Tamandua tetradactyla: one gene and its partners. The protein of the gene in region 1 interacts with the protein of each later gene in a biochemical or structural test. Links are inferred from orthologs where the notes say so. Each region holds a gene or a part of one and is shown on either strand. Other genes may lie near its edges.

Region 1 (7,408 bases):
ACTTGGTTGAGCATTCCAGCCTCTCTGCCTTTTCTCATGCTGGGCACTTCTTTGGATCACCCTCCCTCCACCATCCCTAATCCTCTTCTGGGAAGGCTACCAGGTTGAGCTTCCTACCTTCCTACGTTCTTCCTCTGAGTCCCTTCAACAGGTCCCACAGGCCCTACATTCCCAGCATTTAGAAAACACTGTCTCAGGGAGGAGTGGGTCAGTTCCAGAAGTGCCCAGAATGGCAACCCGAGAGGGCTCTGAGATGGGGGAGGAGGCAGCTGCATGAAACCCTGCCTTAAGAAGACACCCTGTCTTTCCCTAGCTTTGTGGCCTGGACCCATTTCTGTCCTCAGTTTCCTACCTGCTCCCTGAAGGTAGGAAACCTTCTACCTCTCTTGCTGACCCCTGAGAGCCTGTCTATATTGCTGATGCAACCCCAGGCTGGCCTGCTGGGGCCCTACCAATCCCCTGCACGCTCCATCTGCAGAACGGGAAGCAGCAGCACCAGGAGCACCAGGAGTGGTGGGGGCTGGAGGAGGCTGGAGGGCTGGGCCTGGCCTGCAGAGCTCTGAGGAAACATGCCAGCTCCTTCCCCAAGTGTGACTTTTATAAATAAGCTCCCTTCGCCTTCCTTCCAAATGTGGTGGCGATGGGTGGGAGAGAAAGAGAAAGAAGAAGGAGGTGGTGGTGGCGGGGGGGCAGCCACTGTCCTGATCACTACCTCTATCTAGCACAGCCTGCTTCAGCCTTTTGAGTCTCAGGGATTCCGTGCTTGACATGCTGACTCCTGGGGTTCAAGGTCTCCCCCAAATTCAGAGTCAGAGACAGGAGACTCGTGACCACTGGCTCTCGCCCTGAGATGTGGTGTTCTCGGTTTTCCTGTCTCCACTTCATGGATGGGAACCTGAGCCCCAGAAGGAAAGAGACTTGCTGGAATGGAGCTGCCTCCACCCCTACCTACCCCACCCCCACCCCCACTGACCATTCTCCCGCACCCAGCATGGGCTCCTCCCAGCTGACCCTCTAGACTGCTAGAAAACCTCCATGGGTAGTGCCACCCAACAGGGAGTATGGGCTCCGAATGCTCCATGTAGGGGTGGCCAGAGAGGAACCCTAAGAGGATTCCGAGAAGCCAGGCCTTGTGGTCTGAGGGAGCCCCGGGGCTAGGATGTGCGCTTGTGTGAGTGTGATGGGTGCTGGTGGTAAAGGGTGGATCCAGAGACACACACCAGAGCCAGAAGACCTGGGTTCAAGCCCCTCCCAACCCGGGCTCTTTGGGGGCTCCCTCAGTCCAGTTCAAGCCGAAGTCTGACCTTCTTCAGGGACTTAGCAAAGCCCCTTTCTACCACCCATCTTCATGTACCAGGCAAGCCCATTTTCCTTTAGGCATCCATTTCCCCTCGGTAGAGTCAGAGGCCCTGGTCAGGTGTGAGGGGCTGACTGGGTTCCTCTCGCCACTGGCTTCCCGTCCATGCTCTCATCTGACCCCCCAGGCGCCCCAACAGCAGCCCATCCATCACCCAGCCACTCCCCACTGAGCCAGCATTCTTTCCGACTCCGCCCAGCACAGGAAACTTGAGGGCAACCACAAGTGCCGGCAGGGGAAGTGTTAAGAGACCATCTTCTTCCTTCTGAACCTCACGGGGTTTCCCCAGACGCCCCAGGGGCTGGGCAGGGAGCCAGGAATAACCAGGTTGGAGAGGGATGGGGTCCAGCTCCCGGCAGCACCGGAAACATGACAGTATAATTGGGAGACCCAGACGTACACTCAGGAGTCTCTGGGCTGAGGGGTCAAGCCCTGGGGTCAAAAGCCCAAGGGACACTTGAAACTTTCCACATGAGAGGACCTAGGACTCTGGCTTCAAGTTAGGGAGCCAGAGAGGGTCCTGGAGAGCCACTGAGCTAGGGTGCCCCCAGAGACTGTGGGCGGGGCCTGCCAGCGGGGTGGTCAGCCAAGACTGGGGTGAGACCCGCCCTGGTCAGAGCCCTGATTTCACTGCTCCCCACCACGCGCGCCCCTCAGCACACAGGTGGGCTGCATTTCCTTCCCGGTCACCGCCCCCCAGCCTGGGCAACACTAAGGGCGTGTGGGGGCGGGGGCGGGGCTTGGGGGAGCGTCAACGTCCTGGGAAATGGCAGTGGCCAGGGGAAGGGCAATAGTGAAGAGGAGTCGGGGGAAGAGGATGGTGATGAGGGTCTTTGACGCCGAACCGTCGTGCAACCTCCTATCCCCCCTAAACCCCGCCCCGGGAGCCACACCCCAGGGGCCTCCGACACAGGTGGAAAAATAGATGCGGGTCGGAATCAGACCAGCGAACCTCGGAAGGACCTGGAAACGCCGGCCCGGGCGGCCCGGAAGCCAGCAAGGTGGCCCCGGGGCGGGCAGGGGACGGCGAGCGCGCGGGGAGCCACAGGTGATGGGAGCCACAGGTGACAGCTCCCGTCACACGGGCCCGCCCCCACCCGACGGCCGCGTCCCCGCAGCGCGCCCCGCGCCGGGGCTCTGGGCAGGCGGCCGCCCCCGGCCCGTTCCCCCCGCGGCGCCGCCGTCTGTCCGTGCCACAGGGGACAGGGGAGGGACAGAGACGAGGGACCGCGGGGCGATGAAGACGGGACCGGTTCCGCCGGCTCGCGTCCCGCCACCCAAACGCGATAATCGCCCTCTGACCCACCCCAACAAAAGCGCACAAGGGGTCGCCGAAAAGTTTATCCTGACCCCGCCCCGGACCTCCAGTTCACAGGCCAACGGGGCCGAGCTCACGCGAGCCCGCCCGCCCAGGGGGGCCAAGGGGCGGACCCCAGGCAGGGGTCGGGGTCCCCGGCTCCGCCCCGCTCCCTGCCGCCCGCCGGGGGCCGCAGGGGCTGCCGCGCTGGGGCCGGGCGGGGGGTACCCGGAGCGCTGGGCGCCGGCGGCGAGCGGCCGCGCGCGGGGCCGGACTCACCGTGCGGAGCTCCTGGGTTCGGTCCTTCATGCTCCCGGGAGTGGCGGCCGCGGCGCCGGCTGCAGCCTTGTGAGCCCCGCATGCGCGGCGGCCGCCCCGCGGCTGCGCAGCGCCAGCCCCAGCCCCGCCCCGGCCCCCCGGGACCCCGGCCCAGCCCCCAGCCCGGCCCCGCCCAGCCCCGGCCCGGCGCCCGGCGGCCCCGGATTCGCGCCCTCGCCGGGGAGGCGGGCTCCCCGCCCCACCTCCGACCGGGGTCGAAGCCCTGGGACCTGGTGCCCTGCGTGATCCCTGCCTGGGGTCAGACCCCAGAGCCCCGGCTTTCTCCTCTGTCCCTCAGCACCCCTCTCTCTTGACCCTGAATCACATCCCCCCCGGGATCTGCTGGAGGCTGATACCCCCAGACCTGGCCTTGATTTTATTGCCTCCGGACGTCCAGCACCTCCCGCTCTGTTCTCCCCCAAACCATCCGCTGAACCCTCACCTTCCCACATTTCCCGCATCTTCTTACCCAGGCTCACTCTCTGTCCCTCTCTTTCCCCAGGATTTCTCAGTTCAGGGATCTAATGCTGGGTGACCAGTCCTTTTCCTTTGATTTCCACTCTCAGCAGGCTGCAGCAAGCCCTCTAGCTTTGGGGAAGAGACACCTGAAATCTCTCCCTTTCGCTGCATCCTCGACCCTGAGCCCCAGCCCCAGGCCTGAGGTCCCATTTCCTATCTGGAAGCTAAACTGTCCCTAGCCTGGGGCCCAGATCCGTCTGGCACTAACAGAGGGATCCTGATGGTTTGTGCAAGGGGATGCATGCTGTAGGGCTAGTAAGTAGCAGGAGCTCCCTTTCAGGTCCCTGCCAGCATGTTGTTGAGACAACAGCCACACAGCTCCCCCACCTCCCACCAGCTGTTCCCTCTTTGCCCTGGACCAGACCTTTTTTACCTTAAGCCAAGGCTTCCTCCTTCCCTTCCCCAGGGCTGCCAAGGTGTTGCTCTGGAGCCAGGCCAGCCCCCTGCTGTCCAGCGTGCCTGGGCTTGGCACTCCTCCCAGACTGTGGGCACAGGTTAGCTGGCTGGCAGGCAGCCTGGAGGATACAGTTCCAGCCCTCCCTCCTTTCCTGGAAAACCTGGCCTGAGACTGGCTGAGATGTGGCCTGGCTTGGGAGGTGGCCACACCCATTCCAGCTGTTCAGAACTCACCATAAAGTGCCCCACGGAGCAGGCACTGCCATGCCCTCAGTTGATAGTGAGAAGCCAGGCCCCTCCTTGTAGGAGGGCCCCTCCAGGGGTATGGGAGCACATGGCAGGGAAGATGCCACCTGATCCCTGATCCAGGGGTGATTCAGTGGGGTGGGTCATGGATGCACCCCCAGAGCCCAGTGCCTGGACCTATAGAGAAAGGGAAGGAAGGGGAGACACAGCTGCCCTCAAAGTTCCCATGTCATGCAGAGCACCAGCCATTTAGATGTGTATTAAATAGTAGGATGCATAACAAATGTGTGCCCTGCTGGTCTGATATGCCTTCATTCAATTATTTATTCATTCATCAAATGTTACCTGGGTAACGATGCTCTTGGACTGCTGTTCTGTTTTCGAGTTGCCTCCAGTGCAGCTGAAGAGACAGACCTGGTTTCAGTTTAGTGTGATGAGTGCTGGGTGCAGCCAGGGCGGCTTCCCAAAGGGTGACACATTTGAGCTGAGTGTTGAGGGAGGAAGGTATAGGCCTCCAGGACAGAGGAAAAAGATGTCCATGGACACTAGGGGGCAGCACTGAGCCCATTTGGAGATCCTCAGGAGCATGCTGGGGCTGCCCTGCAAGCCAAGGCAGGAGGCGAGGCCAGCAAGGGAGGCCTTGAAAGTTGAACGTTATGGTGCAGACAAGGGGGAGGCAATGGAGGGTCGGAAGTTTGTAAAGTACTTATTGAGCCTCTGCTATGTGCCGACATGGCAGCAAACGAGAAAGACAAAAGTCCTTTACACAGTAATAGATAAGAGGTGATAAGCTAATCAAGACAATATATGATGGTGATAATATATGCTCTGGAGAAGATAAAGTAGGAAAGAAGTGATGAGGGTGCCAGGTGTGTGTTGTTTAAATTTGTTTAAAATTGTTTAAAACAATTGTTAAATCAGACAGTCAGAGAGGGCATTGCTGAGAAGGCGGCATTTGAGTGGTAAAGTGAAGGCGAAGGCACGAGCCATGGAGGCATATGGGGCAGAAGGGGTGCAAAGGTATTCTGGGTAGAGGATGTGAACAAAGACAGAGACAGGGGCAGGGATTACTCCCAGTGGGAACCAAGTGGTCTCCGTAACATCCATCACCCCCTATCCTCACTTCTTTGAACTGGACAAGCAATGGTTCCTCAGTCTGGACAAGTGCTCTGCAAAGCCCTGCCCTTCTCCAGTCATCAGGGCATCTGTAAGCCCCCAATATAGGTGTTCTGCCCGCCCCTAACCCCTCCTACCCCTCCGGCTTCCTTCGGGTAGTGAGGTGTCTCATTGCCCTGGGGAGAAGATCCTGCGCTTCCCATGTCTGTCCTTTGCCATCTGGCCCCGCCTCACCTCTTGGAGACTGCCTTCCTTCCTTCCTTCCCACCCTGTGACCGGGTCTAATCCCCACCTGCAGTTCTTTCCCCAGCATCGCACCCTCCTCTGGGGCCTTTGCACATGCCCTGCCCTCCTCCTTCCCCCCCCACCCCCGGGCCTGGAGCACTCTCCTTCTGGGTCCCTCCCCCCACCCCATGGTCCTCCAGGAAATTGAGCCTGAGCACGTGTGGTCCCACAATGACCGAGGCTTATCCTGGGCATGGCATTATTGCATGGATATAGTCTCTGTAGGTGTCTGTCCCCTTATTAGACAGGAACAATTAAAGGCAGGGACCGGGTTGATTTTCCTGTTGATTCCCCATGGCTGGCCCAGAAAGCGTGTTTGTGGAGAATGAATACACGCGCGGGTGCCTGGATGAGCCGTGTGTCTATAAAGGAGCACTGTGGGGGTGGGGGAAGCCTGGGCTTTGAGGAGCTCTCAGAGCCTCTGGGTGTACTTTGGGGTTTCCCTCCAAAAGACTGTAAGGGCGGGCAGAGGGCAGGTTGGGATCTTTGCGAACTGGAGTCCTGATGTTGGGAACTGCTGCCACCTGCTGGGCAAGGCCAGCAGTGCCTTGCTAGTGCTACTGTGGCTGGGCACCTGTGTACCCAGGTCGGGCTGCTAGGGCGTCTGGGCACCTGTGTACCCAGGTTGGGCAGGTCGGGCAGCTGGGCACCTGTGTACCCGGGTCAGGCTGCTCAGGTGGCTGGGCACCTGTGTACCCGGGTCAGGTACACAGTGACAGTGAGAACTCCTTGGCCTGCTGGGAGAAACCCATTGAAGGCGACAAGACAGCATGACAAGGGTAATGATGGGAGTGACGGGGGAGAACAGAGGCTGCAGAGAAAGAGGGAAGACGAGGAAGTTTTGGTATGATTCAGGAATGAACTGCCCCTGGGGCCATAACCCAGGCCCCTAGGCTGAAGGGTGTCAGGGTGTGCATATGGGCAACTGGATTGCTGAGGGACCCCCATTGTTGTCTTCTGGGATCTGGAAGGCTTATTTCCTTGTTCTCGGGTCCTGGGAAGTCTGGCCCTGGCCCCACGATTGCACAAAGCACAGGCCACCGTGTGAGGTGCCTTAATTAACTCTTACAGAGACCCTATCAGGGAGGTCTTCCATGATTTCCACTTCACAGATGAAGACACAGAGGCTTGGGGAGGTAAACACGGACAGGGTCGTAGCATCGTGTGTCAGTTTGTAAGCTGCCCAGTCCTCCAAATCCCAGATATTTTGTTTTTACCAGGAAGCCCAGAGGCCTGCCCAGTTAGCAGCTCTCCCTCCCCCTGGCACCTTCCCCCACCCCAACCCACCCTACCAGTAACCTGGAACCAATTCCCAGCTCAACCCAGAGGCCTGGGCTCAGCTCTACTGGGGGAGTGGAAGAGGAGGATGCAGGCAGTGGGTATTTCGGGCTTAAGCCCTATTACTTGGTGTGTGACCTTATGGCTGGGGCTTTGGGACGGAATCACCATATGGCTAAATTATCACGTTATTTCCTCCTTTTCCCAATGAGAAGATTAAAAGAAAACAAAAGGCCAAACATTTGAATTTAAATTTTTAGGGATGAAGACGAAAAAATAAACTCTCTACTTATAATATTTATTTAGTTTCATGTACATAAAATCACATATTTGTTGAACTAATTTAATTCAGAAACTGTTTTTCCACTCACGTTTTTGCAAAAGTTGATTCAAACCCTTCACTTGCATTTCTGCCTCTCACCGTCTGATTGTCACGTGTCACTGACATCCCTAGCGCCTTAGTTCCCTCATGCAGTGTTCGCAAATATGTCATCGTCACTATTAATTTGAAATACAGCACCTTTTGAATCTATAAATGATGCTGTCACTGAATATACTATTCCAAGACCCAAGAATCCATTAGGGTAGTTGTTTTC
Region 2 (7,981 bases), on another chromosome or scaffold:
CCCTGGGCTCCTTCAGGCCTGGAGGTCGGAAAGGACCTCCCCAGCCCTTGAGGACCCCTTAACCTCCCCGCACCTCATCCAGCCCTTCTGAGGGTGCCTCTGTCTCCTGCCAGACACCAGCCAACCCGCCCCCACCCTCCAGCCCATGGACAGGCCTCAAACTCACTCCCAGAACTCCACCACGGCGCTCGTCATGTTGGTGGTGTTGACGACGCTGTAGTTGGAGAAGCAGCGGTCTGTGTTCCAGGGGTTGTCACACTGCTTCCACGGAAGAGTCTGCAACGGCACGGTGAATCGGGGATCATTCCAGGGACCATCACACAGACAAACCCACTGAGCCCGGGGTTTGGCAACATGATCCCGTGTACCCCATGTACCCTCAGTTCCCCCATGCAACTATTATCTAATCTCCCCTTCCCAACGGCTCTGGGAGGCAGGAGGCTTGGGACACCAGTGTTAGAGGTCAGAGAAGGGAAGTAACCTGCCCATGAACAGAACCACTAACCAACTGAGTGTCAGAGCTGACACTAGAACCCCGACCTCCCTGCACCGAGAACTACTCTTCCAACCTGCCCTGACATCTCGGGCATCCATCCTGGGCCCCTCCCCAGATAAGGACGCTGTGCGATCCTTTGCACAACGGTGATGCACTTTGCACATCATTACTCCTTAGTCCTCACAACAGCCTTAATAGGTGGCTTTCATTTTTATCCCCATTTTATAAATGAGGGCACAGAGGCTCAGAGAGGGGAAGTCTCTTTCTCAAGGACACACAGCTGTCAAGCTGGGGATTCCAACTGAGGCAGACCCGGTCCACATAAAATGGGGCCAAAGTCCCCATTCAGGAGGGGTGTCATGAGGATGAGATGGAAACCCAAATAAAGTGCTGCCTCCATGCCTGGCCTGAGGTAGGTGCTCAGTCCAAGGTGGCTGTGATTGTCATGGGAAGACAAGGGTGGGTGAGGACAAACTGTGTTGTCCCGGGGGAAGGGCTCGGCTCAGTGTGGAGGAGGGCTCTGGGTCTGGCTCCTTCCTGGGGGTGGGGGGTGCCTAAGGGGCTGCTCACCATGGTGAAGGAATTGTACAGGTAGTAGATGGCCCAGGAGATGATGACGATGTAGTAGATGTTCAGCCAGAAGGACAGCACAGCTGCAGCGAGACCCACACCTGGGCGGAGGAAGCAACACCCTCATATTATTACCATAATAAAAATAATAACCACCTGTGCTGGTCTGGATCTGTGGTGGACCCCAGAAAAGCCATGTCCTTTAATCCTCATTCAATACTGCTGGGTGGGAACTTTTTGGCTGTTTCCATGGAGATGTGTCTTCACCCATTCAAGGTGGGGTTGCTTACGGGAGTCCCTTAAGAGGGAACCCTTTGGGAAAAAGCTTTAGAACCAACAGAATGGACAGAGCCCCAGGGAAGCCATTGCAAAGAAAGCTAGCAGACGTCGCCATGTGCGGTTGAGAGAGAAACCCTGAACCTCATCAGCCTTCTTGAACCAAGGTATCTTTCTCTGGATGCCTTAGAATGAACATTTCTATGGGCTTGCTCTCATCTGGACATTTTCACAGCCTCAGAACTGTAAACGTGCAACTTAATAAATTCCCCTTTTTAAAAGCCGTTCTATTTCTGGTATGTATATCACATTCCGGCAGCTCACAAACTAGAACACTGCCCTATCATGTAGAGCTTTTACCATTTCTTACCATGTCTACCATCTCAGTGGACTCCAGAGCTGGGCGTTATTGGGGCACTGGGTCTGACAACTAGGAGTGACTGGCCTAAGGCCGTATTCATCCTGCAAGCGATGGAGGCAGGCCTTGCACCCGGGGCGCCGCCAAGGCTGGATGACGGGTGGGGGGGTCTGGGAGCTGCCCGGCGGCGGCATGAGGCTCAAGCACAGGTTGGAAGCTTGAGTCTTCAGGCAGTCGCATGGTCAGGCAGGGTTCTGGGCACCGAACAGGGAAGCAGAGGAAGTCAAGCCCATTCCTTGCTGGAGAAATGAGCTAACAGGACAGGGTAGGCTGATGGGGCGGGGGTGAGGGTGTCTCTGGCTCCTGGCCCTTGCCATGGCCCCACTCTGCTTGGAGATGTTGCAACAGGCTCCCTCTCTCCAGAGGGGTCAAAGGTGTCAGAGGCCCCGGCGTCACCGTGGATCTGCGGGCAGAAGAGCCAGTGTCCCCAATGTCCCCTCTGCAGACTTACCCTTGAACATGGGGGCCAGCTTCCACACTCCCAGACCCCCAATGGACGTGTACTGGCCCAGGGAGCATTCCAGCAGGAAGAGCGGGACCCCCGCAAAGATGAGCGTCAGGAAGTAGGGGATCAGGAAGGCCCCTGGGGAGGGGAGAGGAGAGAGATGCTCGTGGCCCTGAGGCTTTGGAGACCCCCCACCCCCACCCCCTGCCAGAGGGAGCCCCGTGCCAGGGCGTTCTGGGGGCCCCATCTGGGATTCCCTTGGACCCTGCCTCAACTGCAAAACTGAGACCCGGCTAGTCCTTTGCTCCAAACATGCCCCCCTTCCCCCCTTGCAAAGTGAAAAGCTGAACGTTCTAGAATCATTAGCAGAGGACCAGCACCCTTTGGAAATCCTCCAGCCGAAGGGCAAGAAGCAAGAAATGGGGCGCAGGCGGCCCCTTTGGAGTCTTCCCCCCACGCCCGCCACCCAAGGGCCCCCCAGCAAAAGCCTGGGTGGGACCCTCCTCTCCGGGGCCGAGACCAGCTGTGGGGGTGCGGAGGGGAGGGGGGCAGAGGCCGGCACCCACCGCCGCCGTTTTTCCCGCAGAGGTAGGGGAAGCGCCAGACGTTGCCCAGGCCTATGGCGTAGCCCACGCAGGACATGAGGAAGTCGAAGCGGCCCTTCCACGTGTCGCGGTCCGGGAGCTCCGCCTTCTTCTGCACCTTCACCACCAGCGTTTTGGGCTTGTCATTGGGCACGGGCGCCTCGCTGACCTCGGTGGAGATCTGCCCGTCGGCCACCTTGCCGCCGTCGCTCGCCATGTCTCGGGCTTTGGCCCCGGGGGTCCTGGCGGGAGGACGGGAAACGTCGGCCCCGGTCCAGGTGGACAGCAGTTTCGCGGTTCAGGGTGGCCCTAGGAGGACAGCGGGGTGAAGCTGCAGGCAGGGGAGAGGGGGGCGGGACCCTGGAATCATCCTGGGTTTGTCCGGAAATCACAAAAACAAAATAATACCCCCACGCACACACACACACATACACACACACACACACACACACACACACAACTATGGGTTCCAGAGGGTTCTCGCACACGCCCCCCTACCCCCACCCCCACCCTCGGCTCCCGGAGGAAGGAGGGTGCCGTCTCTTCCCAGACGCAGCTGGCGCGCGCGCTCTGTTGGTAATTGCCCGCCCACCTCCTGCCCTCCGTGATGGGTCCCACTCAGAAGAGAGACCTGAGGCCATCAAACTTCCAAACAGAAATATGAAGAGTTCCTCATCTTTGCCTCCGAAGCTGCAAATGGGAGGTTTGCATATCTGGAGGCCTTAACAGAAGGGTTTACCCGGGGGCTGAACAGGGAGGGGTCCCGGCTGCAGGCGGTTGGGTGGGAACGATACAGGAGCGCTCACTCTGACCCGTGCTGTGTGACTTTGAATAAAATCGTAATCCCTCTGTGCCCCAACGTCCTCTCTCTCTTTTTTTCATCCTCTCTTTTAAAACGAGGGTGATAACTAGTACCTCCCACACTGGGTTGGTGTGAGCAGTAAGTGCCTGGCAAATGGTAAGTTCTTGCTGCTTTTCTCATGAGCAGTTTCCAGGCCTGGTTGTTGATTCCAGACCATTTGGGAAGTCCTTTGAATATTTCTGGGTCTCATACCAGATGCATGGATTTGAGTCCTGACTGTATTTTAACCAACCCCACAGGAAATTCTTCTGATTCTTACCCCAGCAGCCCAGCCCTGGCCCTTGGTTGAGGAAGGACTGCTGGCTTGCATGCCCGTTCCGACCCTCTGCAGCCCGGAGATGTTTGATCTGCACTCTGCCTCCTTTTTATCTCTTTGGCCCCAGAGGCAGTGTGGGGTAGAGGGCAGTGTATGCCACCGGGGTCAGACCGTGTGGGGTTCAAATATCCCATCTGGCCTTTACCGACAGAGTGACACCAAATAACCACTCTTGATGGCGCCGAGCCTCAGTTTCCCCATCTGTAAAATGGGGACAATCCTCTCCGGTTTGCAGAACTGGGACAAAAATCGGATTTAAAGTCTGTTAAGAGTGCTTATCACCTGGCTGGTTTAGAGAGAGAACTCCGTAAATGACTGTCATTACTGCTGCGGTTGACAATACCTGAGACTCTCTGTGGCACGTCGGCTCCAACAAGCCTGCTTCTGCGGTCACTGGATGAGAACCTGCCAAGCAAAGATGAGGGGACGTTGAGCTGGCAGGCGGGAGCTGGAGGGACCCCGGTGGGGTGCAGGAAGCCTGCCTGCATTGGTGCTGTTCGCGTGCCCCATGCACCGTCCCCAGCCGGGCAACTGCGGTAAGGGTGGGTCCTCACAGCAGGGTGCTGGCCCATGGGGTGCTGCAGGCATGCGGAAGCAGGGCCTGCTGCCCTGGGCACAGTGTGGGGATGGGCCTGAGGGAAACTGAGGTAGCTGCTCCATAATTTTATCAGAAGGAGACAAGAAATCAGCAGAGGGGCTGCACTTCCTCAGGCTCCCCCAGGAGCTGACTCACACAACCCAAATCTTCCTCCAACCTCTATCCAAACTCTCAGAAATGTTGCAAAAGACCACGTGAGAACACGGGAGAGGGCACTTTGCTCTGCTTTGTTGGGCCAGAAAAGCGGGATTCAAAAGAGTTTATTCAATACGATCCCATTTTTTTTTTTTTTTTGCAAAAGAGAAAAGAAAAATCTGTTCATAAGAAGATGCGTCGTAAAATAATGTGTCAAAAAAGACACATCATAAAAATACCCTAAGATGTTAGCAGGGATTCAATAATGAAGGCCTTTTTTGTTTTTGTTTTTTTGTGCTTGTATGGATTCCCATAATGTTCAAAGCTTTCCAAGTTCATGAAATAACCCAAACTGAACTTATAGAATCCTGGAGCAAACTGGGACTTAGAAAGCATCAGGCCATGTATGCTCAGAGGCAGTGTGCGACGGGGGCCCTGGCCCCTTCTCCAAATGACCTCCACCCATTGTTCTGCCCTCTGAGGGGTCCCCAGCTGGCAGGTGCATTGGCCCTGGGGACTGCAGGTAGATTCCCCCTTAGCAAGCACCATCAACTCTTCCTAGAGCTCAGGGAGCACCACACCACTTTTGGGCAATGGGCACTTCACCCTGGCTTCCGGTTCTCCAGCCCGACCTGCTTGGTTTGCTCTGCACAGGCCAAAGGCTTGCCTGGGATGCGCATCTAGAAACTGGCCTGGGACGGACTCAGTCAGGTGACCCTCTCCCATCCTCAGGAAATGCAGGGAGCGGAAGGCAGCAGTCCTCTGGTCTACCAGAGAGTCTCGGGACACGCGGGGGACAGCACAGCCTCAGGAAAGGGGAAGGCCAAAGTGGACCCGTGTCCTTAATTTCCCTGGGGTCTACCCCGGTAGGTGCCAGCTGCCAGATCTGTTCAGAGGCACCCAACCACCTTGGCCAGAGGTCTCTGACCCAGATTGGCCAGTCAAAGCTCCTTCCCTGGGAATCTGGCATGGGATTCCGAAAGAGGGTCGATCTTCCCAAGCGCTTTGGGGAAATCTGAGGTGCCACGTTGGGGTTGGAACAGCAGACAGAGCTGGTCTGCTAAGGAAGAAAACTATCAGAGACCAAAAGACAGAGAGAGAGAGCCTTGAAGACATTCTAATTTGCGGTTCCAGGATTTGTTAAGACCGGCTTCATTTCCGCTAGGAGATGTGGGATCCATTAAGGACGCGATGCCATGTGTGCATGTGACAGATGCTCCTTTCAGGACTCAGGGCTGAGAAAGGCCCTTCAACTTCCAAGGTGACCTCAGCTCCCGCTCCCGCTTCCCGACTCTCAGTGGGTCCCTTCGCATTTCTGGTCCTCTTCTGTAAAATGGGGGTGGGGGGCAGTAATAATACCCCCCTCGGGGGGTGGTTATGGAGCATTTAAAACAACATCTGGTGCACGTTTGGAGCTTAGGGACCCTCAGCCAAGGCGCATGGGTGGTTCAGTGGTAGAATGCTCGCCTGCCATGCAGGAGACCCGGGTTTGAATCCTGGCCCGTGCACCCTCCCAACGCCCCCAAAAGAAAGAACCAGTGTCATCTCAGCCAGTCATCACTGTCGTTGTCACCAATCTCATTCTGGCATTCTTGGCTTCCCAGAAGTCCATAATGATAACAATAAATAATAATAATAACAAAATAACTGGCATTTATTGAAGGCTTATTGTTCAGGGCCCTTGGTATCTTTCAGCCTTTCCAAAAACCCCAGTGGAAAGCAATCTTTCAACTGTCCTAGAGAACACCAGTTAATAAAAATGTCATGTTTCTTTGATTTGGGGTCTATTTGTACCATTTCAGGGTAATCTAGCCATTCGCCTTGGGCCAGTTCAAAGCTGGGATTGCCACATTTGCGTGGTTGGTTTATTAAAAAAAAATTATTGTATAATAAATAAAGCTGGGTAAGAAAAAAACGTTCAAGGCATCTAGGACATGGAGAGAAAATGGTGAAAGAGACCCAGGACTCCCAAACAAAGTGGTTTGAGGAAGCGCGTCTTAATCCCAGGGGGAAATAGCCATTTTAGAATTCTAACTCCTGACCCCACTGGGTGACCCGTGGCTCCCCGCAGTCACGTGAAACAGCAGGCATGGGCACGGGCACGTGTGAAGTCGTGACTAGGTGGCCCGGTTGTAATTTTAGAAAGTTCACTATCTCTGAAGCAGTAACAACTCTTCTGCAAGTTGTTGCTTCCCCCTCTGGGAGCGTCGGCGCGCGCTGCGGCACTGGGGGAGCTTCTCAGCACCCTGGGACCGCTCCGGGGCAGTGAGGGAGGCAGCCCGTCCCTCCACCGCCTGGGCGGGGCTGGTCTTACGTCCTCTCCCTGCAGGTGGAGTGGGTGGAAGGAAGACCTTTCACCACCTCGTGATTTGGGGCATTTTTCCAAGGCCTTTTCCTCCAGAATCTTCTGGTTCTTCCTCATCAGGTGACAACATTTTGCAGACAAAGAATCTGGTCACACATTCCTCAGTAACACTGGTTAATACCTCATCATGAACTGAATTCCACCCAAAGCAGCATTTGAAAGGGCACTTTTAATGGAGACCGTAAGTAACAAGTTTTCTATCTTCACCCAACTACTCATCCAGTCCTTCGTTCATTTCACACATATTTTCTAAGCATGTCCTATGTATTGAAATGATGACAAGACGGGTTTTTTTTTCAAGAAATTCCGTTATAAAGTAGCATTTTTTGTCTTCTGAGCCACACTCTAATCTCCAGAATTGGAATCAGTGAATCAACAGAGGAAAGATTCAACTTAGTAAATACTCCCTGATGGCCTACTATGTGCATGGAGCTGGACTGGATGCTCAGGATGCAAGGATTAATAAGACACTGCCCTGTCCTTGACAAAGTCACAGCCAAAAGGAGAACTATCTCTGCCTATAGCTAATCATAACACCCTGTGATAAGTGCTGTAAGAGGTGCAGCAAGAAGACGCTATAGGCCTGGAAGGAATGAGTTATTTCAGCCACAGAAGGTAACCCAAGTGAGGGGATATTTGAGCTGGGTTTTGAAGGTTGAATAGGTGTTCATCAGACTCAAAAAGAGGGAAAAGACATTCCCAAATGCAGGGAAACGCATGAACAAAAGTAAAGAGGTTTGAAATAAGAAGGCCAGCTTGTGAAGGGCCTTGAATGCCAGGTTAAAGAATTTCAGGACCAGTTGCAAGGATGGGGCAGGGGTGACAATGTGATCAGATTTGAACTGTGGAAGAAGACTCACTCAGGAGGACTCTGGGAAGGATGGAGTTAAGGAAAGAGACTCCATCTTCTCCAGCC
Region 3 (7,509 bases), on another chromosome or scaffold:
TGTTACCTCCACAATATGAATAATACTTAGGAAGCAGACATATTACTTCAGGGTGGATGAACAAATCATTTGTTTTTAAAATATTACTGCATTTAAGTTTAAAAATAAGGACATTTAGGTTAATTATGGTTAAACACTGTAATAAAAGCAAAGGCTTAATTTTTATTTCAAGCTAAACAGTTTAAAAGAGAAAGTGAGAAATATTTTCCAACGTACAAACTAAAAAACATAATCTTGAAAAATGAATAGGTATTTGAAAAAAGCTTACAACAAAACTACTAGAGTCCATGGATGCCTTGGAAAAATAATTCTCTCGACACTAATAAAATACAGGTAACATAATCGTTTTTACATATGGGTAATAAATGTAGACTGTAAAAGGGAAAATACATCAAGAGACTGTATTTATCCATATGCACTTGAAAACAGAATGCTCTAAAACTTCTAGAAATGTCAACTTTTCTTTTTGCATGGGCAGGCACCAGGAAACGAACCCGGGTCTCCAGCATGGCAGTCAAGAACTCTGCCACTGCACCACCATTGCCCACCCTAGAAATGTCAACTTTTCATAAGAATTTATATGAAGTTTATTTGCTACGTTTGTCTGCTAATGATTTTTCTTAGATGGTAAGTCAGAAACAACCGAATTCAAATTCAACCTCGAATTCACTAGAATAATAAACGGGTCATAAGTTTAACATCTCCCACGTGCAACATTTCAAAAAAGCAACTAAAACACATGCCACGCTGATGTCTTTTAACCTCATCCTTCGTGTACCTCTTCACAGACCCGCAGAACCTTCTAGCACCTCACAAAGGAAGTAGCTAACTATGGCAGAATGCAAGACCGCTGCTGAGAGGTGGGAGAGTATAACTACGGGAAAGGCCAATGCCATGGATTCCAGGCAGCACGGGCCTCGTCAGCTCACCAGCCCTGCCGAAGCCCACAAAGGATACAGCCGAAGAGCACCGAGCTGAGTCCCCACGGCCAAAATCTTCTGCACGGGGTCGAAGGCCAGGGCTGAGGGCCGGTAGGGAAATCCATGGCGGACAGTCTAGGGTGGCAGGTGACACCGCAGCCCCAAGCAGTGAAGAAAGAGAGAAACAGAAAAGCAATGAGGTATTAGAATTAGAACCAACTATAATTGATACGCACCAGATGCTGTTAAAAAAAAACAACACAAAAACCCTGAAATCTACAACATTAACAAACAAAAGCTATTTGACCAAATTTCTATACCAGTTTTATACACTTTAACTTCTGCATTTCCATAACACTGTATTCCACAGAAAACCATGTCTCACTAGTATTCTATATTACATCTGAGAACAAATTACTGAGGTTCACAGTGACCAAAAAATTCTGTAAATTCATTTTAAACTGTGATTCATGCTTTGTCTCAAACGTGATCATCATTACTTCATTTGGATACTAAATGCAAATACTAAGGAAAAGCTGTCATATAATTACTTTCTTGCAGAATTCTAGAAAGCAATCTCTACTCCAAGATTTTGCAATTTTCACATTTTCCTATTAAGTCCACATTTCTGGAGATTGAGGCAAAAAGTTTAAGGAGACACTTTTAAGAAACTCAGGGTACAATGCATGGGGAAGACAAATATTAATAGACGAACGTGAATTTTTCCTCGAGCAGCTGGCAAGTTAATTCGCTGCATCATTCTTTCTGAACTACAGAATGCAAAGGCAATTACCGTGCCATTAACAGGCAAAAATCACAGTTACTAACTTCTTAATCGAACATAATGCAATTTCCTATTTTCAGCCACTCAGTGCATATTTTGGGAGAAAAGCCACGATCTAACATCCAGTTGGACAGGTTTGGCTTTTGGATTAGCGATGTCCATCAGACAGCGTTTCCAAAGGAAACCAAAGCCAGCGGGTTAAGCCAAAAACGCTTGCACAGAAGGTTTCCAGGCCACGCTGGCGGGGTCAGGGCCCTGTACCAAGGACCCTAACCCTGCGGCCCCGCCAGAAGCCCCCTTCCCAGGCCTGAGCCCCGCTCCCGCGCCCTGCGCCCGTTGCCCCACTCCCTGCCCCCGGCGCCCCGCTCCCTGAACCCGCTCCGCCGCCCCACTCCCGCGCCCGGCGCCCCAGTCCACCACCCGGCGCCCCCCTCCCTGCACCCACCGCCCCACTCCCAGGCCCGGAGCCTCACTGCCGCGCCCACCGCCCCACTCCCGTGCCCATCGCCCCACTCCCGCGCCCATCGCCCCGCTCCCTGCACCCACCGCCCCGATCCCTGCACCTACCGCCCCGCTCCCGCGCCCACCGCCCCACTCCCAGGCCCGGAGCCTCACTCCCGCGCCCACCGCCCCACTCCCAGGCCCGGAGCCTCACTCCCGCGCCCATCGCCCCGCTCCCGCGCCCACCGCCCCGCTCCCTGCACCTACCGCCCCGCTCCCGCGCCCACCGCCCCACTCCCGCGCCCATCGCCCCGCTCCCTGCACCCACCGCCCCGCTCCCGCGCCCACAGCCCCACTCCCGCGCCCGGAGCCTCACTCCCGCGCCCACCGCCCCACTCCCGCACCCGGCAACCCGCTCCCTGCACCCACCGCCCCGCTCCCTGCACCTACCGCCCCGCTCCCGCGCCCACCGCCCCACTCCCAGGCCCGGAGCCTCACCACCCGCGCGCGCTACTCCCCGTGCCCCGCACCCTGCCGCCCGCCCAGCGCGACGCCCTGCCGGGTGCTCCCCCACCCGCGCCCGCTGCCCCGCGCCCCCCTCCCCGGCGCTCTGTCACCGCGCGCGGGCCCCGGCTCACCTTGCAGAGCTGGAAGTGCTCCGCCTGCAGCGTCTCTGCGATCTCCGGCTCGCGGCTGCCGGGTGGCGCAGGCGGCGGCGGCTGCGCGGCCGAGGACGATCCGGCGGTCAGGCCGTCCAGCACTTTCCTGATGTTGAATTTCCTCATGGTCTCGGCGAAGCCCCCTCCCGAGGGTTCCAGCGGCCCCAGGGCGCGCGCGGGATCCGCACAGGAAACGCTGCGACGGCGGCCCCGCGCCCGGCTGCCCGCTCACCTGGCCGCGGGCGGGCCCCGCGCCGCCTCCGCCGCCCGCGCGCCCATGGCCCGGGCCCGCCGCTCCCGCTCCGGCTCCCTGTCCGGCCTCCACTCTCAGTCGCGGCCGCTCGGCCCCACGCAAGCGCCCGGGACCCCGGGCCAGGCCGCCCCGCCGCTGACTGGACCGCCGCGGCTCCCTGAAGACCAGCACCCGGCGCCAACGCCTGCCGAGCCGCGACCCGCCCACGGCGCCAGGGGGCGGCAGCGGGGCCTCAGCAGAGCAAGGCGGCCGGTGTGCGCAGGCGCGGCGCGACCCCCGCAGGCCTCCCGGCGTGCGCAGGCGCAGCTTGGTCGCACCCGCTGAGCTTGCAGTCGGGCGTGCGCAAGCGCACCGCGAGGACCCGGCGGCGCGAACTTGGACGTGCGCGTGCGCGCTGCTCGTCTCCGAGCGTGGCGCCGACAACCAGGTGTGCGCGTGCGCACCGCGGCTACCTCTCCTCCTCGCGTTGGCGATCCCTGACGTCCCTCCGTCTGCGAAAATCCGCCACGGCGGCTCCGCTCGCCCGCCCGGGTTGCGTGGCCCGACTGTGCCGTGGCTTCTCCTGCAGCTGGGAGGGTACAGAGTGCTGGGCAGCGAGCAGCGCATCGCCCTGACGTCAGCCTGCCCCTTGGGCAGGTGCGCTCCCACCTGGGCAGGTGCGCCTACGGTTCGGCGCCCGGGGTCTGCGGGCCACGCGTCGTGCGAGGGTCTGGGAAGGGCGTTCAGGCGACGGCCACGCCAGTGCCACGAGGATGACAGAGGAAGTCTCTGGGGAAGGAGATAAGCCCAGAAAAAACCTGAGGCTGCCTCTAGGGGTAAAATTAAAGTCGGCCACACAGGTGCTGCTGGATTCGCTCCCCGAGGTCACCCCTAAGGGCGGGGTCTGCCGGCCAGGGACCCCCCACCCCAACCCGTCCCCACGCGGGGTGGGCGGGGATGGATGCTCCACCGGAGACCCTAGCCCATCCCCTCGCCGCGTGGGCAGGGACCTGGTGGGTGGGCACTGGAGGTTTGTGGTAGGCGCGCCTGGGATGGGCTCACCCACCGAGGGACGCAGGTAGTCCCCCACACAGGAAGGAGACGGCAGTGGGGTGAGGTTGGTTCTGCCCCCCGCCGCCCGGTTTCCTGGGACTCTGAGAGACCACGCCGGGCCCGAGGTCAGGAAGGCAGATTGATGGGGTGCCCCGATGTGAGGAGGTGGCTGAGGGGAGAGGCTGTGGCCAGGAAGGGCTGGGGATCAGGAAGCAGAAGATGGATTCTCATTCGGAGATGTGGCGGGGACAAGGAAGGCCCAAAGCACCAGCCTCCCTTCTGGTACCTTGGTGGTGGCCCTGACCCCAGCAGTAGGCCAGAAACCGCCACATCACCCTGTGGGCTGGGGGAAGCTCCCCACTTCGTGGGTTCTCCATGCAGAGACCATGTCCTCTACTTGGAATCTATGGCCTCGTTTTGTAGTTTAATGTTTACTGAACTAAACTATTCGCTTTGTGCAGCAAACAATAGAAGTTTTGTTTTTTTTTTTTTTTTTAAGAAACAGGGCTTTCCTCAACTATTTCTAAGTGGCTCTGAACTTTTTGCTGAATAATTCAGTTCACACATTTTTATTGCGTGAAAGGCATTGTACTGGGTACTAAAGACACAGAAATGCCATCCCGGCTTTCTGCAAGCTTGTGGCAGTCTAAGGGGATGACTCTCCTGCTTACATGCTCGTTGCACTGCAGTGAGTTCAGTGGTGGGTAGTGCAGGAGGGGGCTGAGGGCACCACTCCCCACTGCCTGGGAAGCCTGGAGGGACTCCAGGGAATGCTGCTGCTGCTCGGCCATTCTGGGGTCCAGGAGAGATGGACTTGGCCAGGTGAAGAGGAGAGGAGGACTGTCGGAATTCACCTGGAGAGTTTTTCATACAAATGCCCACATAGGGGAAATGGCCAAAGAGAGCACTTTCCCACAGGATTTTTTCATCTGGTTTGAAATAAGTTGTTGGATATTTTGTTATCATTGTATTATAAGGCTCTTTGGAAAAGGCACTTTTGAAAATGACTTAGAAAAAAATGCATTGAATTTGAGGACCCATTATTTTACCACTGTGTGCCCCTTTCTTTTCGATCTCACTGGATTTCTACATAGGTCTTTGTTAGCCTGAGCTGGGACAGAGTGGGTAGCAAGTCCACAAGAGCTTACCTGCACTGGCAGACATGCTCCCCGTTCGTCTTAAATCCTACTTGTCCTCTAGGAACCAGAGTTTGGGAATGACAGAATAGATTTGCCTGATGAGAGGGATGTGATACAGAAACAACAAAAGTCTGAAGTCAAAAAAAGGGGCACTGGCTCCTTGAAGGCTCTGTCCACTGAAGGACCCTGACTGCAGAATGAAAAACTGACATTTTTCGGTATCCATAGAGTACTAAGGAATGTGCTGCAAATGGTAGATCTTTTTTCCCTCCCAGTTTATCATCACAGAACTAGAAGAAGGTAGTATATCCTCATTTTACTAATGAAGAATTTGGCCAACAGACAAAGCATGGAACTTGCCCAGTTTACACCTATTAACGGGGGGTGGGGCGGGTGGGGGGTCTGGATTGTCCTGCAAATCTGGCAGGTGACAAAGCCTAGGGCTCTTGGCCTCTCAGCAAGGTTTTATTTATTTTTATTTTTTGCTCTGTTTTCTTTTACTTAATGTCTTCATTCCAAGCAATTAATTAGCGTTCTTTGTTTGGGTTCATGGCATTCACCCAAATGTCATTTTTCCTCACTTACTTAGTATAGCTAGAGATGGTGTGGTACAGTAAGCCACTAACAAGTTGTAGATAGTTGTGCTGCGTTTAGCCGAGTCACGGTTGGCTCTAAATAATAGTTAGTGAACGGAAAATAAAAACGTAAATCAGAAAGAGAAAACAGAATACACACACACAAAAAGGGACCCCACTAAATATTTAGTGATGGAAGACCGAAGACCGGGATTCGTTTACGTTCCTGAATCTGGCAATCCTCAGTCTCTGGTTTAAAGGCTTAAGGAAGGCTCCGGCATTGGTTTCATAGGCCAGCTGGGGCCGACGGAAAGGAATAAAATAGAAACAAACATTTTAATGAGAAATTGTGTTATGGGCTAAAACTTTCTTGAAAGTTGACCAAATATACCTCATATGCTCTCCTAGCATTATTTTTATCCACTTAATTTTATTTTTTAGTCGCAAAGGGTATGCATGGCAATAATTGATTCCCTATACAATTTAACTGAATATCCAGCTTCGGTCACTTGCAAGTTGCAGTAGAAATGTCCATCACTCCGTCTGCCTAGTTGGCGCCCCCTTTGCGGAAGGGGCCCCCACCCCTGCCTGACACCTGTGTTTGAATCAGGGACCCTGTTTCTGGCCCACTCTGGGTCAGCGCGGTCTAAAAAAAGGCAAGCCCAAGGGGTCCTCTTTGGGGCCATTGGGATTGAATCACAGAGATGCGAATTAGGGGGAGAGAGGTGGGGTCCGCAAAGGTGGGGCTGGAGTGGGCGTTTGCTGGGTGCTTCCAAGGCCAGGAGTGCCGGTGTGAGGGGCGAGCCGGGGCCCTCACGCCCACAGTGCAGGCGCAACTCCTGTGCAGCCTGCCCCACTGTGTCTCTGTGGGGACTCTCTGGACGGCTCTGATTCTGGCCATCGGACCATCCCTGCAGCAGGACTTGGTGAGAAGAGGTGGAGGCATGCTGGCGGTCTCCCCTCGCCTTGCCCTGCAGTGGCCCAGCCCCCGTGGGTGCTTGGGCCAGCTGCGGACGGGGGCGCACTTTAGTGGGGGCCGGGAGGGTTGGCTGCTGCCGAGTGGGGTGTCCGAGGAGGAGAAGAAGCGAGGTTGGGCCTGAGCGCCCCTGGGTGCCCGCGGGGTGTACTCCTGGCCGTGGGCGCGGCGGCTCCGCAATCAGCCGGTTATGAGGGTGCTCAGGGAGGAGGGGGCCCAGGGGCGCGACCCCCAGCGCGGCCGCGCGAGCTTCCCTGGCTCCCGGCCTACCCGGTGCGGGAAGTCCGTGCGGAGCTGCCACGGCGCGGGTGGGTGCAGTTCCTGCGGAGGGCCACCAGCCTCTGCGCTGTTGAGGGAAGGAATAGCGTCCCCAGTGTCTTTAATTTCAGCGTTTTATTTTACGATTTAAATATCATTACAAACATTTTGAGAATGTTGCTGAAGTTTTACCCGTGGGTTAGAGTTTCTTTTCAAGTAACTCCTTAAAATTTGATTTGTGGACTGAGGAGCTAGCAGCAAAGTTTGAACTTTGTGCAGTTAATTACTCAGTTAGTAAACTGTGCTCCCTGAACCAGGCTTAGGGCACTGGACTTATTTAACTAAATTGTAGTGATTGAAATTTGCATAGCAGAACCACACAAAGAGAGGGTGGCTGCATTAAAATAATTTCAGAATTTACTTTCTTAAATAGCTAGGATTACATGCTTATTTTTAAAAATGATTTTAGAGC
Region 4 (6,873 bases), on another chromosome or scaffold:
GGACCACGTTGTATAATGTTGCAATGAAATATTTTAGGACAGAAAAAAATGAGCTACGGCTACATGCATCAAGAATCTTAGCAACATAATACTAAATAAAAAATCAAGTCCCAGAAGGCTACTTAAACTATGGTACCTTGCATAAAGTTTGAAAAACCCACAAAACTAAACAATATTTTGTTGAACTATAAACTTACACAGTTACGAAAAATTTTTTTAAAAAGGAATATTTTCCAGAATGACTGCACCATTCTATATTCCCATCACAAAAACATTCGAAATCTAGTTTTTCCACATACTCATCAGCACTTGATACTGTCACTATTTTCATGTTAGCTGTTCAAATAAATGGGTCTTAATTTGAAAAAAAAAAGGCAAATTGATTCTTGATAATTGTTTAACTGTATTGCTTTAATGGTGTGACCGTGTGATTGTGAAATTTGTGACTGACACTCCCCTTTATTCAGTATATAGGCAGAAAATAAAGACAAAAAATAAATAATGGGGGGGGTGAAAGGTATGGGCCGCTGTGTTTTCTTCTTTATTTTTATTTTTATTTTTTTTGGAGTAATGAAAATGTTCTAAAATTGATTGTGGTGATGAACGCACAACTATATGATGGTACTGTATGCCATTGATTGTATACTTTGGATGATTATATGGTATGTGAATATAGCAATAAAATTGCATTGAAAAAAAATAGGCAATGGCCAGATCTTGGAGTGACTTGCATTTTTTGACTAGGAAGTCTGCGCTTTATACTATGTCCATGGAGAGCTACTGAAAGGTGGATTTTAAGCTGGGTAGATGATTATTTTAAGCCACTTCCTCCAGGAATCCTTTCAAACACCTTTAAGAATAAGGAACAATCATTGAAATCAAGCAAAGAGTGTTTAAAGAAGAGAGACAAGTCTATCCTTAAGCAATCAAGAAAGATGAAGCCTGAGAAATATCTTTTGAATTTAGTTAAAATAGCAGTAGGTTGGAGAGGGGGATGCTGAAATGAGGGCAGGTTGTAGAATGCTTTTGGAAGGTTTGGCCTTGATGGGGAGGAGAGAGAAGGGATGATAGTTAAAAGATGAGGATCAAAGTGTTTTTGTTTCTATTTTGCATTTTTGTTAGAATTAAGACAGAAGAAACTTGAGCGTAATGGGGAAGATCCAACTGAGAAAAAAAGATTGCTTAAACAAGAAAGAGAAGAGATAGTCAATAATGGTAAAAAACTTGAGCAGATAAGAGAGACAATCTAAAGCAGTGGCAGGAGGAATAGACTTGGAAGACAGATAATACCCCCTCAATTATAACAAGAGGAACTGTGTGGCAGTTTGTAAATTTGTACATTTAATAAACAGAAAGTTGAAGTTTTCATCTGATGACCTCTATTTCCTCTGTGAAGTAGGAGATGAGGTCATCTGCTGAAAGTAAAGGAGATGGTGCTGGCAGTATTAAGGAAATTGAAGAGATTTGAAGTATTTGTTGCAGAAATTGAGAAAGTTGATCAGAGAAAAGTAGTAGGCCTGGTAAGCAGTGAAGGCCTAGTTAAAGCAACTTAAAATGAACTCACCAGTCTGTACTGGGGTGTGGCTTTCTCAAGCAGTCACTACTTCTTAAGGGCAGAGGTGAAGAAAATTGTGTGGTCAAGTTCATTTCAGGTTGTGATGGGCATTTGTATAATGTGATGGTTCTCAACAGGGGACAATTTTGCCAGCAGGAGATATTTGGCAATGCCTGGTGACATTTTTGGTTGTTCTCATGGGGGTGGGGGGTGGGGGGGTGGCATCTAGTGATCAGGAATGCTGCTGAACCACCCATAATAAACAGGATAGGCCCCACAATGATTTATCTGTCCAAAATAACAATAGTGCTAAAGTTGAGAAACCGTGGTAGAATAAACACAGACATGCAAGGGAGCTCAAGTTATTGCCAAAAGATGACAGATCATGGGATTCAAGTCAGAAGTCAGGAAAAGGCTGATGGATTGGGAAATAAAAGTGTGGAATCAATGAATAGGAGTTTTTGATGAGGTCAAAGAAAGTCACAGAGTGTGGTTGGCCAAAGAAACTGCAAGACAGAAGGTGTTTGGACAAAGAAAGTGATAGTTACATTAGGGAATTTAGAGGTAAAGAAATTGCAGGTGATAAGAAGGTCCAGGGTATTGCTATGGATGTGGGTAGCTGAAATAGCATAGAGTAGTAGATTAGGTTGAGTTTAAGGAGTTAAGAGATTTTATTGTTGGATTACATGTCCACACGGAGGTGGAAGTTATCCAGAATGATGGCAAGGTAGAGATAAATGTGTATTCTTTCACTGAAATGAATTAGTGGCAGAAAAAAAAAACAGCCTGAGAATCATCCTTACATAGATTTCTTCTCTCCTTCAAATCTGCCACCCACCCTCACCCCCACCCACTTCCCCGGGGTGGGTGGGGCATGAAAAAGATTTTCAGGCAAAAAATGTTGAATTTTAAAATTAGGAAACTCTGGAGACTTGACTGGTCTACAATTTAATGTTATGCCAGATCTTAAAACTCTTAAGATTTTAGTGAATTTGATTTCCATTTCAGTCATAATCTATACATTATGGTAACCCAAGCAGCAAAAACCTAATCACCTTGAGGTAGGGACGGAACACTAGCTTCCCTTTCTGTAAGGAACATTTTTACTTTTGTCTAGGGAAATGGTTCTCATCTGGAGGTGATTTGCCCCCAGGAAACATGTGGCAACTTCTAGAGACCTATCTGATTGTCATAACTTGGAGAAGTGGGGAGCTGCTACTAGCATCGAGTAGCCAGGGATGCTGCTAAACATCCTAATACACCATACACTCCCTCATGACAAACACTTATCTGGTCAAAAAAATGTCAATAGTGCCAAGGTTGAGAAACCCTGATGTAGGGTTACCTTGGTGCTTACCAATATCTGACCTTAATCTTCTATAGGTTTATCCTTGGACTATAGCCCTGAGATTATTGGGTTAAGCTGTTTTTTCATTGCTTGTCTTTAAAGGAGAGTAGAATGAGCAGCACACCCCAACTTTCAAGTGTTTTAAGGACTTGTGATGTCACAAATACAGAATTGGAAGTTTTCTAAACTTCTAGAAGCAACTTTGCCTTCACATATAGATGAAGGAGGTAGCTGCTTATTTTGATTTGAGGCACTAAAGGTCTTGTTAAAAAGAGATGTTATTTCAATAATGTAAGAGGAGGGACACATTACGCCATCACCAGCCTTAACGTAACTTGGTTTATTTGACTAATATTTATCACTAAAATAGAGTCCTGAGGGAATGGGTAGGGGCTAAGATTTTTAATAAATAAAATTACTTGTTATGAATAATAATATAGTTGTTGGTTTGCTTGATGCATGAATAGATACTTGACCTATGTTACCTCTTTTTTTTTTTTTTGCGCAGGCAAGCACCAGGAATTGAACCCAGGTCTCGGGCATGGCAGGCAAGAACTCTGCCTGCTGAGCCACCTGGTCCTCCCTGTTACCTCTTTTAATCCTAGCAACACCATCAACCTAATTTTAACTCTGAGGGAATGGAGGGTCCAAAGAAACTTGGAATTTGTCCAAAGTTGCAAATTACTATAGCTAGGTTAAGATTTGAGCTGAGGTCTGTCTAAAGTTCTGAGGCAACTTCTGTAACTGAGAAATTGAGATTTAAGAGATGATTTTAATTACTGAATTATAGCTGTATAGATGTTCCCTTTTGCTTTCTGGTGTATTAGAATGGTCAGAGGGAAATACCTGAAATCTTTGAATTGTAATCCAACTGCCTGAATCTCTGATAATGATTATATAGCCTTTCTCTTCTGCACCTGTGATTGTAAAAACCTTGTAACAGGGCGGGCCATGGTGGCACAGCAGGCAGACTTATTGCCTGCCATGCCAGAGACCGGGGTTTGATTCTGGTGCCTGCCCATGCAAAAAGAAAAAAAAAAAAAAAAGAGAGAGAGAGAGAGAAACCTTGTGACTAAACTTCACTTGTACCATTTATCCAGTTTTTCAACTTTAAAGTTTATGATCACTAAAGACAGCCCCTAATATTTATTAATGAAGGGTCCTGGGTCAGCCCAAAACTAGCCCGCCCCAAGTCCAGTTATCTTGATAACCTAAACTGGATCTAACCAAAATGGGCCCACCTGACATGCAGAGTAGCTTAGATTTTAAGCTATAAAGTTCCCCTATACCTCATTATACTAAAAATCATGCACATCATCATAATAAAGCCACCATTTTCTTACATAAATTCTGTGGCTAAGTATGTAATCCGCCTGCACATGCTCAATAATCTGATCACTTCTAATCACATCAGCTGGGACCACTGTGCTCATTATCCTAAAACCTGCCCATCTTTTGCTACAATAAAACTATCAAAATTATTGCAGTTTGGGAAGACAGCTTTTGGAGCCGTAGGCCATCTGATCTGCTGTGTCTAGTTATACACTTTTTCTCTCTTTGAAACCCGGGTGTCTCAGGAATGGGTCATTTGAGCGTGTGGGGCACAAGGATCCATGGCCTGTGTTTGGTAACACTTTCGTTAAGCTTTATTAAATATTACAAGGAATTAGAAAGTTAGCTGAAACAGTTGTCATTGTCAAAAGGGAACCGTGGAGTATTTAAGAAGAGAGTAGGAGCAAGGAGGCCTGAAAATACAACAGAGAGTGAAAAAGGGACCAAGGAGGCTAGTCACAGTCGGATCCAGTGCAGCTCCTGCAAACCCAACCATCTTTGGTCTTCCATTCTTTCAGAATAAACCCTCTACCCCTGTGTGCATTGTTCACTTCTGGGTTCTAATAAAGTTAGATTATTGAGAATGGCGGACGGCAAAGAGAGAGAGAGAAAAAAAAAAGGAGCGCGACGGCTGTGTTGTGCGCCTGCGCGCTGGCGGCGGCGGTGCCCGGGGGGGAGCCGGTCGGGAGTGGGCCGCCGGACCCAAAACAGAAGCTGGGGGTCTGGGGCGTGAGGGAGCTCCCTCCCCGGGGTCTCGGCGGTGCGATGGAGTAAGAGAGGTCGGCCGTGAGTGTGAGTATGAAGGTACCGAACCGCGTTGATGCGAATCAGAGCTCGAGGGTCCTACTGTTCCCCTTAGCAGGGCTGTGGGGTTGCAGGACGCGGCGATGTCTCTGCTGGTGCATGTTGCGGCGCGGGGATAACTAGTCCCATCTCCCAGCACCAGCTCGGATTATAGCTGGCGGTGCTTCTGGTTTAGGGGAACGGATTCTCGTGGGGGCGTTTAGGTTCTGCTCCCAGCCCTAGCTGGAAAGGTGGCTCCAGAGCTTTGACCTTTGGGGAAGGCCGTTGACCTCCTTCGGTTTCCAGTGGGGCAGGGAGCTCATAGACCCTTGTGCTTAAAGGCCTGTGGGTCACAGGCCAGGGACATCTTTCGACCTCTTGTGACTGACAACCTCCTTTTTCCTCCTTTCGTCTTCTCTCCAATGTGTCTTACTATTAGTTACTAATTAAGGGATGCTTACTATGTGTCAGTTTAATATTTCGTATGAATTTCAGTAACATAATTATAGTTAAGGAAATGCTTTTTACCTTCCTCCTCCTTCTACTCACTTTAGTCATTTTTAGAATAAAAATATATCCTGTTGTGGAGTCAGTTTTCCATGGCCCTTATAAATTTGGGACTGCATTACCAGTTAAGGAAAGTTTTTTTTTAAACTTATTACATCATTCACCATGATAATAATAATGATGAATTATTCAAACCACAGATAACTTTGAGCACTTACTAAGAGCCTAGTACTGTTCTAAGCCCCATGGGAAATCTTAAAATTTGTTTTAGACCTTTCACTTTGGTTGTGAATGAAACAGTGGAAGGCAGTATTCAGATTTATTTAACACCTACTCCATATGTGCCAGATACACTCAAGTATGTCGCAAAAAATTAATGAGATCTTGTAATGGAAGGTGGCTTTTTGCAGCACATTTTAGATGAAGTCTCTGAGAGTCTGATAAGTTTCTCAGGCTCACCTACCTAGAGTTAAGTGGTAACTTTCAGGCTGTATGATAACAAAGCTATCATTTTGCTGTTACACAAAGTTAGATACTCTAAGCGGTTCTGCTGAGAAGCAAGCTGCATTACAGTTAAGAGTTAGCTAATGGGATTTAAAAATGATAGGAGGCTTCAGTTAAAGATACTTGCTAGATGTTTTTTTTCCCCATGATTTACCATTTAATAAATATTCAGTTGTAGTAATTTTAGAGAAACTTAATCATGAACAGAAGACAATTTGACTTTTAAATTAGTGCCCTTGACTAAACTACTTTAATAATGCAAATAAATTTGTGGCATTACTTTTACTTTCAATTCTATACTTGCTATGAATTCTTGGATTATTTTAAGACATAATTCACATAAAGTTTTTCCAAAACACTTTTGAATCAATATGCAATTTTGCTAAAATAGTGTGTGTCCTCTTTTATAGTCCTCCAACTAATACCCATTGATTGTTACAATCTAATTTTAGAGAAAATTACATGTAAAATGTAGTTAATATGGAGGGTTTGGAACAAAAGTATAAGGAGAAAACTCAAGGATATGCAATAGGTTTTACCATTATTCCCAGAATTTTATTTATTCTCCCATACTCTGACTCTCTTCCAAATAGACAGATAAATAACAATTTAAAAGAGGAGTAAATTGTAAGCATCCTTTTGTCAGAGTTTTCCTAGATTTGCTAGTTTCATTTTACTGAAATATGAATTTTGGAAAATGTTTTTGGAAACACATGGCCTTGTGTAAAGAACCAAAGATTTTTAACACATTGATTATGTGTGCGTTTTGAAGCATCTCAGGGTTTTTAAAGCAAAGTAGAAACAAACATTCTACATTAGATGAAGTAAGGATGTGTCTAACTGT

What was found.
Region 2: the proteins of STX1A (region 1) and SLC6A1 form a complex in vitro, tested with the Homo sapiens proteins (2 studies listed by BioGRID). The link is inferred for Tamandua tetradactyla from reciprocal best matches to the Homo sapiens genes STX1A and SLC6A1.
Region 3: the proteins of STX1A (region 1) and STXBP5 form a complex in vitro, tested with the Homo sapiens proteins (2 studies listed by BioGRID). The link is inferred for Tamandua tetradactyla from reciprocal best matches to the Homo sapiens genes STX1A and STXBP5.
Region 4: the proteins of STX1A (region 1) and SNAP23 form a complex in vitro, tested with the Homo sapiens proteins (3 studies listed by BioGRID). The link is inferred for Tamandua tetradactyla from reciprocal best matches to the Homo sapiens genes STX1A and SNAP23.

The regions. Positions count from the first base shown.
Region 1 is NC_135349.1:11,403,622-11,411,029, forward strand, and holds the start of STX1A (syntaxin-1A), read right to left. Parts: upstream 3,007-7,408; 5' UTR 2,964-3,006; coding exon 2,934-2,963; intron 1-2,933. UniProt on the Homo sapiens protein: Plays an essential role in hormone and neurotransmitter calcium-dependent exocytosis and endocytosis.
Region 2 is NC_135335.1:38,041,959-38,049,939, forward strand, and holds the start of SLC6A1 (sodium- and chloride-dependent GABA transporter 1), read right to left. Parts: upstream 3,007-7,981; coding exon 2,772-3,006; intron 2,344-2,771; coding exon 2,212-2,343; intron 1,168-2,211; coding exon 1,067-1,167; intron 277-1,066; coding exon 167-276; intron 1-166. UniProt on the Homo sapiens protein: Mediates transport of gamma-aminobutyric acid (GABA) together with sodium and chloride and is responsible for the reuptake of GABA from the synapse. The translocation of GABA, however, may also occur in the reverse direction leading to the release of GABA.
Region 3 is NC_135351.1:45,675,725-45,683,233, reverse strand, and holds the start of STXBP5 (syntaxin-binding protein 5), read right to left. Parts: upstream 3,017-7,509; 5' UTR 2,931-3,016; coding exon 2,784-2,930; intron 1,056-2,783; coding exon 958-1,055; intron 1-957. UniProt on the Homo sapiens protein: Plays a regulatory role in calcium-dependent exocytosis and neurotransmitter release. Inhibits membrane fusion between transport vesicles and the plasma membrane.
Region 4 is NC_135340.1:56,366,707-56,373,579, reverse strand, and holds the start of SNAP23 (synaptosomal-associated protein 23), read right to left. Parts: upstream 3,012-6,873; 5' UTR 2,913-3,011; intron 1-2,912. UniProt on the Homo sapiens protein: Essential component of the high affinity receptor for the general membrane fusion machinery and an important regulator of transport vesicle docking and fusion.